Macaca fascicularis: one gene and its partners. The protein of the gene in region 2 interacts with the protein of the main gene of each other region in a biochemical or structural test. Links are inferred from orthologs where the notes say so. Each region holds a gene or a part of one and is shown on either strand. Other genes may lie near its edges.

What was found.
Region 1: the proteins of SPI1 (region 2) and IRF8 form a complex in vitro, tested with the Homo sapiens proteins (3 studies listed by BioGRID). The link is inferred for Macaca fascicularis from reciprocal best matches to the Homo sapiens genes SPI1 and IRF8.
Region 3: the proteins of SPI1 (region 2) and MECP2 form a complex in vitro, tested with the Homo sapiens proteins (2 studies listed by BioGRID). The link is inferred for Macaca fascicularis from reciprocal best matches to the Homo sapiens genes SPI1 and MECP2.

Annotation. Positions count from the first base shown.
Region 1 is NC_088394.1:81,800,776-81,804,419, forward strand, and holds part of IRF8 (interferon regulatory factor 8), read left to right. Parts: intron 1-925; 5' UTR 926-926; coding exon 927-1,100; intron 1,101-3,644. UniProt on the Homo sapiens protein: Transcription factor that specifically binds to the upstream regulatory region of type I interferon (IFN) and IFN-inducible MHC class I genes (the interferon consensus sequence (ICS)). Can both act as a transcriptional activator or repressor.
Region 2 is NC_088388.1:18,465,655-18,470,012, forward strand, and holds the start of SPI1 (transcription factor PU.1), read left to right. Parts: upstream 1-1,482; 5' UTR 1,483-1,649; coding exon 1,650-1,694; intron 1,695-4,275; coding exon 4,276-4,358. UniProt on the Homo sapiens protein: Pioneer transcription factor, which controls hematopoietic cell fate by decompacting stem cell heterochromatin and allowing other transcription factors to enter otherwise inaccessible genomic sites.
Region 3 is NC_088395.1:160,098,772-160,102,415, reverse strand, and holds part of MECP2 (methyl-CpG-binding protein 2), read left to right. Parts: intron 1-144; coding exon 145-495; intron 496-1,038; coding exon 1,039-2,122; 3' UTR 2,123-3,644. UniProt on the Homo sapiens protein: Chromosomal protein that binds to methylated DNA. It can bind specifically to a single methyl-CpG pair. It is not influenced by sequences flanking the methyl-CpGs.

The DNA.
Region 1 (3,644 bases), on a different chromosome or scaffold from region 2:
GTCTTTGGGTGCCCTGGGATGGTTAGGTCCCTAGAGTGGGACATCTTCTGGAAGAGGAACCCAGTGAACTTTGCCCTGTTCTGTAGCTGCTGTTTATTCCCTCACGCTTGTCTCTTTCAGTTGGTCATAGGAGTTGCCCAGGAAGTTTGGATAATAATAATGACATCTGGCGTGTAAGGTCCAGGCCCTGTCTCAGTTGCTTTCTGTATACCATCTGAGTTCTCCCTACACCCAGTACTGGTAGTTTTTCCTGAGTTTCATCTGGGACTGGGTAGCTGATGCCCTGAGATTAAATGCTGATCCAGGGTCTCCCAGCTGAGCCGTGGCAGGACTTGAATGAGATTGCGGTTCTGTCTCATTCTTAAACTCGTGCTCTTATCACTGTGAAGGAACAGCTGTTTAGACGGGCTAGCCTGAGGGCCTCCTCTTTCTCAGATGGCACAGACGCTGTATTCTATCAGGGAATATGGGGCCAGCTGGGCATCCAGTAACCCAGTCAGTTCTTAGGCTAATGGGCTGCTCGGTGAAGAAACCCGGTGCTGTAGAAGTGATTTCCCCTTCCCTTCCAGTCTTGTGCTAAAACTGGAGCTGTTCACTGTGGCTGTATCTGCCTGAAAGGAAAGGGCCAGTGAAAGCTGGAAGGAGCACAGCCAGCACAGTGGGAGGGGCCCGCAGGGGGCTGCTGGTGGCTTCAGGTGGCTGCAGGTTTCCCAAGGAGCTTTCAGTTTGCATTCAGGGCTGTGAGGTCACGGAGGCCAGCATTGCCTTCTCATGGCAGGTGTCCCGGAGTCCCTGAATCTGTGGGTTTCCCCCAAGCCAGCACCTTTGCTGCAAACCTCTGAGTTTCCTGTTAGCAGTTTTTGGGTTGCTGTGATGAATGAGACAATATCCGTAATATCGCAGCATGTGTTTCTGTCTTTCCAAGGATGTGTGACCGAAATGGTGGTCGGCGGCTTCGACAGTGGCTGATCGAGCAGATTGACAGTAGCATGTATCCAGGACTGATTTGGGAGAATGACGAGAAGAGCATGTTCCGGATCCCTTGGAAACACGCTGGCAAGCAAGATTATAATCAGGAAGTGGATGCCTCCATTTTCAAGGTAAAGACCCCAGCTCGCTTCCTCTCTGTGGGCACAGTGTCTCCTTTCCCCCATGGACTGGTGGAGATGTTGAGTGACGTCTTTCTCATTTACTTAAAAAGTAATCCAGTTTTTAAAAAAGCAAACATTGGTTCAGGAGTGCAGAATGTGTCTCAAAAATGTACATGAACTGATATCACGTCTCTTGAGAGACAGAGTCACTTTTGTGGTCACTTGTATTCTGATGAGGGGGTCGAAGCCTCTTTTCTTCCCTTTTCTGCCGTTTCCTTTTCCTGATGAGCCAAGTGGGAGAAAAGACTTCTTGGAGACCCTCACACTAAGACCTTTTCCCGCGGGCTTCCGTCAGAGGCGATGCATATACCAGGGAAGGTTTCAGTCCTTGTTCTTTCAAAGCTGATACTTCTGCCTGGCATTGTAGGGCCAGCTCAGGAGGGTGAGATGCCATCTGTCATTCCTTTGGGGGCTGGGTCGTGTAGGGGGTTGTGAACCTGCAGCAGATGTCTAAAACTGGTCTCACCTCCCTTGAGAGTAATGAGTTCCCCATGTGTGGAGAGATGTGATGGAGGGTTTGTTCTGTGCCAGGCCTGGTCCACGGCTTGTTTTCTGCTCACACGATCCTGTGTGGTAGATGCTGTTCCCACCCTCATTCTATAGAGGCGCTGAGAGGAGAAGTGACTTGTTAAGGTCTCACAGTTCTTGTATGATGGAGCCAGCATTCAAATGCAAGATGGCCCAACTGTGAACCCTTGGTCCTAACTCCAGAATAGCTGATCAACAGAGATTTCTTGCCATTACACCTAGATTCAGACAGAGGAACCAGGAATTGGGGCAACCCAGCTCTGCAGACCAGCTGGGCTATTGAGTTCCTTGTGGGTCATCAGAGTGCTGTGTGGGCATCCCTAAGGCTCCAGATGTCCAGGTTTCACCTCTGGGAGATTCGGAGCCCTAGGTCAAGGTCAAGCCTAGACTTCCACGTTTGCAAATGTGGACACTACACGTAGACTGAATCATAGCCCAGGTTATAAGCCATTGCCATGTGTGCTTATTCTCTTGCATTTGGGGGCCAGGGATGGGGAGAGGAGAGTGGGTGTGAGAGAGGGGCAAAGGGGGCTGAGTTGTTGGGGGCCAGAATCAGACCTGAGACCACAAACAAGGTGTGGAGGGAGTCAAGGCTGTAGGACCCCATGACAGTGCTGGACTCCCAGCCACAGATGACGATCCCCTGACACCAGAGAACAAAAATGACAAAAGATCACACCTTAACTCCAGAGTGGACCATAAATAGGTCAAAGGCGGCTTAAGATGCATTTTGGTCCTGCACATCTTTGCCTGACCGATGTTTGCAGCGGGGCTGTGCATTTCAGTAATTATGTTAAATCTGCAATTTGAGGTTGCTGGTCTTCTTGAGAATCTGATGCCCATTACTGACCACTCCAAGGAATATGGGGACAAGGGAATGCTTTGCACTCACCTTCGAGGGGGTCCCTTGGTGCCCCCACATCTCCAGATTCTTTCTGATGAAGAACCCCAGGTCAGGGAGCCTCAGCACCAGTGAATTTTGTGATACCACTGCCTGCTTCCTCACCCTTAGTGCTGTTGTGGATTTCTCTCTTGTTTGATTGCAGATTTTTTTTTTTTTTTTGCCTTTGGCATCATGGTGACCTTCTCTTGGGAAGGACTGCAGATTTAAACAGTATCAGAGTCCCATCCAGTCGATTGGGAACTCTGCATTATAGATAACCCCAAAAGCCAGAATTTCTCTGCCTTGCCACTGTTGATGCCTGGGTCTGGGCAATTCTTTGTTGTAAGGGTTCCCTAGGCCTTGTGGGATGTTTAGTGGCATCCCTGGCCTCTACCCACCAGGTGCCAGTAGCATCCCCTTCCCTACTGTCACAATAAAAAATGTCTTGTACATTGCCAAATGTCTCCTGAGGGCCAGAGTCTTCCCCTCCCCATTGAGAACCCTGATAAGAGCTGGCCACTGCCAGGATCAACAGACTTAACCAGAGGTGTTGGGTGTTGAGGGCACAGTTGCAAGTTGGACATCAGTAAAACATCTTTAAGACATGGCACAGGGTGCTGGACTAGGCTGTGTAGCCCTGACATGTGGCTTGCTGACAGAGACTAAGCTTCTCCCTTCACCCCATTCCCTGCTTCAACTTGTGCTCGGGGGGTAATGAAATAAAGCCCCAGATTTATACATCTTATGCAATGTTCTTCATGGCCGTTTCAACAGTGTTGAGAAAAATGTGCAAGATTCCCAATGTTTCCGTTGGTTACGCAGTCGCCTGATGTGGCAATCTGAAATGAGTCTACAATCTCAGCAGGAATGGGGCCAGGAGGGAGACGCGGGTGCCCACTGGAGCAGGGAGGCCGTCGGGAGGGCCACCAGTGCCACTGGAGACATGACACCAACAAGAGCCCATCAGGTGCTTCCCTGAGCTATGCTTGTTCCCATCCGTCCTCTGAGAGGCCTGTCTCTGTGACGTTGGCCGGATAGGTCTTTGGCTGTTGGATGAAGTCAACCTCGGTCAGATAGAGCCA
Region 2 (4,358 bases):
TGGATGGATGGATGGATGGCTGGATGGATGGATGGCTGGATGGATGGATAGATAAGTGGATGGGTGTATTGGTGGATGGCTGGATGGATGACTGGAAGGATGGATGGGTGGATGAGTGGATGGGTGAATGGGTAGATGGCTGCATTGGTGGATGGGCAGATAAGTAAATGGGTAGATGGGTAGATGGGTGGATGGGTGGATGAATGGATGGATGGATGAATGGAGGGATGGATGGATGCGTGATGGGTGATAGGTGAATGGATGGATAGGTGAATGAATAGATGGGTGGAATGGTAGGTGGGTGGACTGGTAGATGGGTGGATGAGTGGACTGGTAGATGGATGGATGGATGAATGAAGGGATAGGTGGATGATGGATGGGTTGATGGACAGATGAGTGGATGGGTAGATGGGTGGATGAGTGGATGGGTGGACGGATGCATAGGTGGATGAATGCATGAGCAGGTTTATAGATGGATAAACAGATGGAATTGTGGACTGATGGACTGATAGTAGGTGGACGGGCTGATTAATGGACATATAGATGGCTAGACAGACAAGTAGATAAGCAGATGGGTGGGTGGATGAATTGACTGACAGATGAATGAACAAATATATGGAGAGTTGGATAAATGGACAAATAAGTGAATGCATGGTGGGCTTGATGAATGGATAGCTGGATGGACAAACAGACAGACAAACAGATGCACGGGAAAACAGACGAATGGTGGATAGGCAAGAAAGGTTTGTAAACTAGGAAGGTTACATTCATATTCAGGCATTGGCAAGGGATGGGGAAACTGAGAAACCTGGGCTGGAAACAGAGCCCTAGGGATTTGAATGTGGTACTCAAGAAGCTGGGAGGGAAGGGTATAAGGACCCAGGACCCTCTTCTAGTGGAAGAGAAGCCCATGTGAATAGACTCAGAGGGAAGGAAGAAAGGAAGAAAGCAGCAGTGTGCTGAAGACCCTACCCCGGAGCCCAGCCTCAGCCGAGGGACAGCCTGGGCAGTGGGGGTGCAGGGCCACAGGAAGAGGCAGGCCTAGCCTGCCAGATCAGAGCCCTCACCTAGCAAGGCTGACCCCAGAAAGTGGAGGCCCCAGGAGGCCACCCCTTCCAGCTCTGACCCCAACAAGGTGACTGTTGGCTACATAGGGATCTCAAAAGCAGCAGACATTTGTTGGGTTAGAGCAAAAGCCTCCCAGTGGTGTGGCGGAGCTACACGTTCTCCCTTCCAACCTCCCTCCCCAGCTTAGCCCCCAAAGTCATCCCTCTCAGTCGCAGCTTCCTCTGGGCAGGGGGCCTGGACCCCATGGCTTCCCAGGCCAGCCCTTTGAGCACCACCTGCCCCAGCCGGCCAGAGACTTCCTGTATGTAGCGCAAGAGATTTATGCAAACGGGTTGGGGCGGTGATGTCACCCCAAGGGGACTATCTCCCAGCGGCAGGCCCTTCGATAAAATCAGGAACTTGTGCTGGCCCTGCAATGTCAAGGGAGGGGGCTCACGCAGGGCTCCTGTAGCTCAGGGGGCAGGCCTGAGCCCTGCACCCGCCCCACGACCGTCCAGCCCCCGACGGGGCACCCCATCCTGAGGGGCTCTGCATTGGCCCCCACCGAGGCAGGGGATCTGACCGACTCGGAGCCCGGCTGGATGTTACAGGCGTGCAAAATGGAAGGGTTTCCCCTCGTCCCCCCTGTGAGTACTGGGACTCCTCCACCAGCCCAACCCGTGGCCCTCGGACGCCTGCCTGCCTGCCCATGAACCCGCCAGCCCACCCGCTGCCCTCCTGGCTTGCTATCAGTGGGAAGTCAGGGTTTCCTCCCTGGAACTCCTGGCCTGAGACCCAGCGCGGGGGCCACTGGCTTCCTCGGAGCATGCCCTGGCGGGCTGAGGCCGGGCCCATGGTGGGGCTGTGATCGGTGGGGCCTGAACAGTTATTTATAGACAGGGCTTGGGTGGCAGGCGGAGGCCGGGGCTCCTGGGGAGGGTGCTGGGCTGAGGATGGTGAGGGCAGTGGTAGAGAGGTAGAGGAGAGAGATGGGGGGACTGGCTTGGAGGAGGCCGATCCCCTGGACAGGAAGGGGCTGAAGGCAGGAGGCAACAGGCAGAAGCCTTGGCCCATGGCCTTGGGGCTCCTGGACACCGAGGCTGATGGAACTCTGGGTCCCCAACACCCAGTCTGGGGCCTGGCACAGAGGACATGATTGTTGACCAAAGGGTCGGGGCCATAGGCCCACAGGGGGACCCACAGGAGACAGGGGCCGGTGCTGGAAAGGAGCCAGGAGTGGAGCTGAGACAGTGCAGTTGAGGCTGGCCCCAGGGCTGGAGTTCAGGGAGAGGCGCGGCAGGGGACAGGGCTGGGACAAGGTCAGGACTGAGATTGGGGCTGGGTGGGACCTGGGGTGAGCATGTGACAAGTTTGAATGGGGGCTGAGGCTGGGACAAGGACAGGGACTGGATCTTGGGGGTGAAAAAGTGGGAACCCCAGGGGACCCTGAGAAGAGAAGCAGATCGCCACTGCTCCTCACTCTCAGTGACAGTTGCAGCCTGAGGCAGGTATCAGACCAGGGTCCCTCTGAGAGGACCCTTCTCCCTTTTCCCACCCCATGACCTCTCAGGAGTAGGGAGGCTTGAGGGGAGCCGGGAAGGGCTTGGCAGGATGCCCTCCTGACTCCACTTTCCTGGCCTAGAGGCAGCTCCCTTCCCCCACCGTGCCCCAGCTCAGAGCCACCCCAGGAGGCTGGGAGTCACCCCAGGCCTGACATCACACCAATCCGACCAGAGTCAGGCTGACATCCTGCATCGAGGCTCCACTACCTGGAAACCCAGAGGGGCAGGCTCAGTGCTGGGCTCCTGGCCTCCTCACTTGGCCAGACACAGGCAGGACCAGGCAGGACCAGCCAGCCCGCTGTGGCATCCACACCCTGACACCCCTTCCCACCTGGGACCACGAAGGGGGCGGCGCAGGCAGAGGGTGATGGAGGTTGTCTCAGGAAGAGCCAATTCTGCCTCAAGAAAGCCACAGGCCCACTGTCTCTGACCCCTGACCTCTCAATCCTGAACTCCAGGTGGAGCTGAACGGGTGGCAGAGCTCCTTGGGCCGTCCCTAGGCCCCCCAGCCCTCTCTGCAAGCTCCAGGGTCACTCTGAGTGTCTCCTGGTAGGGTGGGCTCCCAAGGCAGCCCCAGTCCCCCAAGCCCAGCCCTGAGGGCCACAGTGACTGTTGTGCAATCCTGGGCCACACACTGTGGGGGCGGGGAGGGCTGACGACTGTTGGGAAGGCTCCTGGGTGTGCACGGCCCTGTGTCTGTGCCAGTAGGGGGAGGAGGACAGGGAGGAGGGAGGAAGGGGGGGAGGAAGAGGAGGAGGAAAGGAGGAGGACAGGGAGGAGGGGGAAGAAAAGGAGGACAGAGGGTAGTGAGGAGGGGGAGGAGGAAGCAAAGGAGACAGGGTGGGGGTGGCGGTGAGGAGGGAAGGAGGAGGTTAGGGAGGACTCAGGAGGGAGAGTGAGGGGATCAAGGCCCTCCATGCCCTCGGCCCCCAAGCCTGCCCCGGTGACCCCTGCACCAACCATCATGTGGACGGTCATTGTGGTGCCACTCTTGCCCAGGCTGTGTGAGAGGCATAGGTTGTGACAGTGGGACTGGGCAGGCGAGTGTGTGCTGTGCAGGTGAGTGTGCGGGTGGAATGTGAGTGGCTCTGGGGGTGTGAGTGTGTGTGTTGATGGCTGGAACGTGGTGTCATGTGAGTGTCAAGGAGACTGCGTGTGCGCATGAGCTGAGTGTACAATATCTCTGTGAGGTGGGTGACTTCTGGGTGGGTGTGAAGATGTGTGTGAGAGGAACAGTGTACAGGCGCCTGCATCGGGGTGGGTAGGGGCTATGAGAGTGAGTCCACATGTGGGATTATGAGTGTGAGGGTGTCACAGGGATCGTGTGGACATGTGCATCAGTGTGACCAGAAGAGGGGTGTGGGATGAGGATGGGGGCACACAGGCATGAGTGTGAGTGTGAGCATGAGGTGGCTATGGGGAGTAGCCCAGCAGGGGGGGACCCTGGTCCTCTTCTGACATCTGACCCCCAAGGTCCCTGTCACCCCTTTTCAGGCCTCCCGGGTCCCCTGCCCCACTCTCTGTCCCAATTCTAGGCAGAGGGAGGACTGTAGGCCCAACGCAGTCATTGAGCCAAGGAAGGTGGTGGGGACCCAGCATGCGGGGGTGCTGCAGGCCTGGTTGGGGTCCCCCCACACAGTGCAGGCCCTGACACCTCCTCTCTCAGCAGCCATCGGAAGACCTGGTGCCCTATGACACGGACCTGTACCAACGCCAAACGCACGAGTATTACCCCTATCTCAGCAGTGA
Region 3 (3,644 bases), on a different chromosome or scaffold from region 2:
GTTGTCCTGGGGAAGGACATCAAGATCTGAGTGTATGATGGTGTGGGGCCTTGCATGTGGTGGGGATCCAAGCCTGCCTCTGCCCACTTGTTCTGCAGACTGGCATGTTCTCTGTGATACTTACATACTTGTTTAACACTTCAGGGAAGAAAAGTCAGAAGACCAGGATCTCCAGGGCCTCAAGGACAAACCCCTCAAGTTTAAAAAGGTGAAGAAAGATAAGAAAGAAGACAAAGAGGGCAAGCATGAGCCAGTGCAGCCATCAGCCCACCACTCTGCTGAGCCCGCAGAGGCAGGCAAAGCGGAGACATCAGAAGGGTCGGGGTCTGCCCCGGCTGTGCCGGAAGCTTCTGCCTCCCCCAAACAGCGGCGCTCCATCATCCGTGACCGGGGACCCATGTATGATGACCCCACCCTGCCTGAAGGCTGGACACGGAAGCTTAAGCAAAGGAAATCTGGCCGCTCTGCTGGGAAGTATGATGTGTATTTGATCAAGTAAGTAAGAGCAACTCCTGCCTCTATAGGGCAGGGAGGGCAGGGACAGGGGTTCAGAGGAGTGAAGAAGCATGTTTCAGTTCTGCCCCTTAAATGATCCCAAAAAGGTTAGCAGTTTTCAGATGACATTTGCAGACAGCATCATTTAATTCCATAACCCTGAGAAGGGTGAGCAAAGGATTATCTTATTGAAACTGATTCCTGGAGAGACTGACCACCATACCTGAGTTCAAAATTGGGTATGTTCTAGATGGTGACTCAGGCCCAGGCACCAACCGGCAGAATGGGCCTCAGCCCAACAGCCCTTCTGTACCAGACCTGACTCTTTGGTTGCTGGACTTTGGAGAGGCCTGGGGGGGTCAGCGGCAGGCAGACGAGTGAGTGGCTTTGGTGACAGGTCCTCAGGGGCAGCCAGGCAGTGTAACTCTTGTTCAGTAGTAACGTTTATCAGAGTGTTGTCACCAGCATCCGCTCTGCCCTATCTCTGACATTGCCATGGAGAGCCTCTAATTGTTTCTTGTGTCTTTCCATTTGTCCCCACAGTCCCCAGGGAAAAGCCTTTCGCTCTAAAGTGGAGTTGATTGCGTACTTCGAAAAGGTAGGCGACACATCCCTGGACCCTAATGATTTTGACTTCACGGTAACTGGGAGAGGGAGCCCCTCCCGGCGAGAGCAGAAACCACCTAAGAAGCCCAAATCTCCCAAAGCTCCAGGAACTGGCAGAGGCCGGGGACGCCCCAAAGGGAGCGGCACCACGAGACCCAAGGCGGCCACGTCAGAGGGTGTGCAGGTGAAAAGGGTCCTGGAGAAAAGTCCTGGGAAGCTCCTTGTCAAGATGCCTTTTCAAACTTCGCCAGGGGGCAAGGCTGAGGGGGGTGGGGCCACCACATCCACCCAGGTCATGGTGATCAAACGCCCTGGCAGGAAGCGAAAAGCTGAGGCCGACCCTCAGGCCATTCCCAAGAAACGGGGCCGAAAGCCAGGGAGTGTGGTGGCAGCCGCTGCCGCCGAGGCCAAAAAGAAAGCCGTGAAGGAGTCTTCTATCCGATCTGTGCAGGAGACCGTACTCCCCATCAAGAAGCGCAAGACCCGGGAGACGGTCAGCATCGAGGTCAAGGAAGTGGTGAAGCCCCTGCTGGTGTCCACCCTCGGTGAGAAGAGCGGGAAGGGACTGAAGACCTGTAAGAGCCCTGGGCGGAAAAGCAAGGAGAGCAGCCCCAAGGGGCGCAGCAGCAGCGCCTCCTCGCCCCCCAAGAAGGAGCACCACCACCATCACCACCACTCAGAGTCCCCAAAGGCCCCCGTGCCGCTGCTCCCACCCCTGCCCCCACCTCCACCCGAGCCCGAGAGCTCCGAGGACCCCACCAGCCCCCCTGAGCCCCAGGACTTGAGCAGCAGCGTCTGCAAAGAGGAGAAGATGCCCAGAGGAGGCTCACTGGAGAGCGACGGCTGCCCCAAGGAGCCAGCTAAGACTCAGCCCGCGGTCGCCACCGCCGCCACGGCCGCAGAAAAGTACAAACACCGAGGGGAGGGAGAGCGCAAAGACATTGTTTCATCCTCCATGCCAAGGCCAAACAGAGAGGAGCCTGTGGACAGCCGGACGCCCGTGACCGAGAGAGTTAGCTGACTTTACACAGAGCGGATTGCAAAGCAAACCAACAAGAATAAAGGCAGCTGTTGTCTCTTCTCCTTATGGGTAGGGCTCTGACAAAGCTTCCCGATTAACTGAAATAAAAAATATTTTTTTTTCTTTCAGTAAACTTAGAGTTTCGTGGCTTCAGGGTGGGAGTAGTTGGAGCATTGGGGATGTTTTTCTTACCGACAAGCACAGTCAGGTTGAAGACCTAACCAGGGCCAGAAGTAGCTTTGCACTTTTCTAAACTAGGCTCCTTCAACAAGGCTTGCTGCAGATACTACTGACCAGACAAGCTGTTGACCAGGCACCTCCCCTCCCGCCCAAACCTTTCCCCCATGTGGTCGTTAGAGACAGAGCAGTTGAGAGGACACTCCCGTTTTCGGTGCCATCAGTGCCCCGTCTACCACTCCCCCAGCTCCCCCCACCTCCCCCACTCCCAACCACGTTGGGACAGGGAGGTGTGAGGCAGGAGAGACAGTTGGATTCTTTAGAGATGGATGTGACCAGTGGCTATGGCCCGTGCGATCCCACCCGTGGCGGCTCAAATCTGGCCCCACCCCAGCCCCAATCCAAAACTGGCAAGGACGCTTCACAGGACAGGAAAGTGGCACCTGTCTGTTCCGGCATGGCTAGGAGGGAGTTGTCCCTTGAACTACTGGGTGTAGACTGGCCTGAATCACAGGAGAGGATGGCCCAGGGTGAGGTGGCATGGTCCATTCTCAAGGGACGTCCTCCAGTTGGTGGCACTAGAGAGGCCATGGAGGCAGTAGGACAAGGCACAGGCAGGCTGGCCCAGGGTCAGGCCGGGCCGAACACAGCGGGGTGAGAGGGATTCCTCGTCTCAGAGCAGTCTGTGACCGGTAGTTAGGGACTTAGTGGACAGGGAAGGGGCAAAGGGGGAGGAGAAGAAAATGTTCTTCCAGTTACTTTCCAATTCTACTCCTTTAGGGACAGCTTAGAATTATTTGCACTATTGAGTCTTCATGTTCCCACTTCAAAACAAACAGATGCTCTGAGAGCAAACTGGCTTGAATTGGTGACGTTTAGTCCCTCAGGCCACCAGATGTGATGGTGTTGAGAACTACCTGGATATGTATATATACCTGCGCTTGTTTTAAAGTGGGCTCAGCACATAGGGTTCCCACGAAGCTCCGAAACTCTAAGTGTTTGCTGCAATTTTATAAGGACTTCCTGATTGGTTTCTCTTCTCTGCTTCCATTTCTGCCTTTTGTTCATTTCATTCTTTCAGTTCTTTCCCTTCCTCTGTCCTCCTTCCTAGTTCATCCCTTCTCTTCCAGGCAGCCGCAGTGCCCAACCACACGTGTCGGCTCCAGTCCCTAGAACTCTGCCTGCCCTTTGTCCTCCTGCTGCCAGTACCAGCCCCACCCTGTTTTGAGCCCTGAGGAGGCCTTGGGCTCTTCTGAGTCCTACCTGGCCTGTCTGTGAAGAGCAAGAGAGCAGCAAGGTCTTGCTCTCCTAGGTAGCCCCCTCTTCCTTGGCAAGAAAAAGCAAA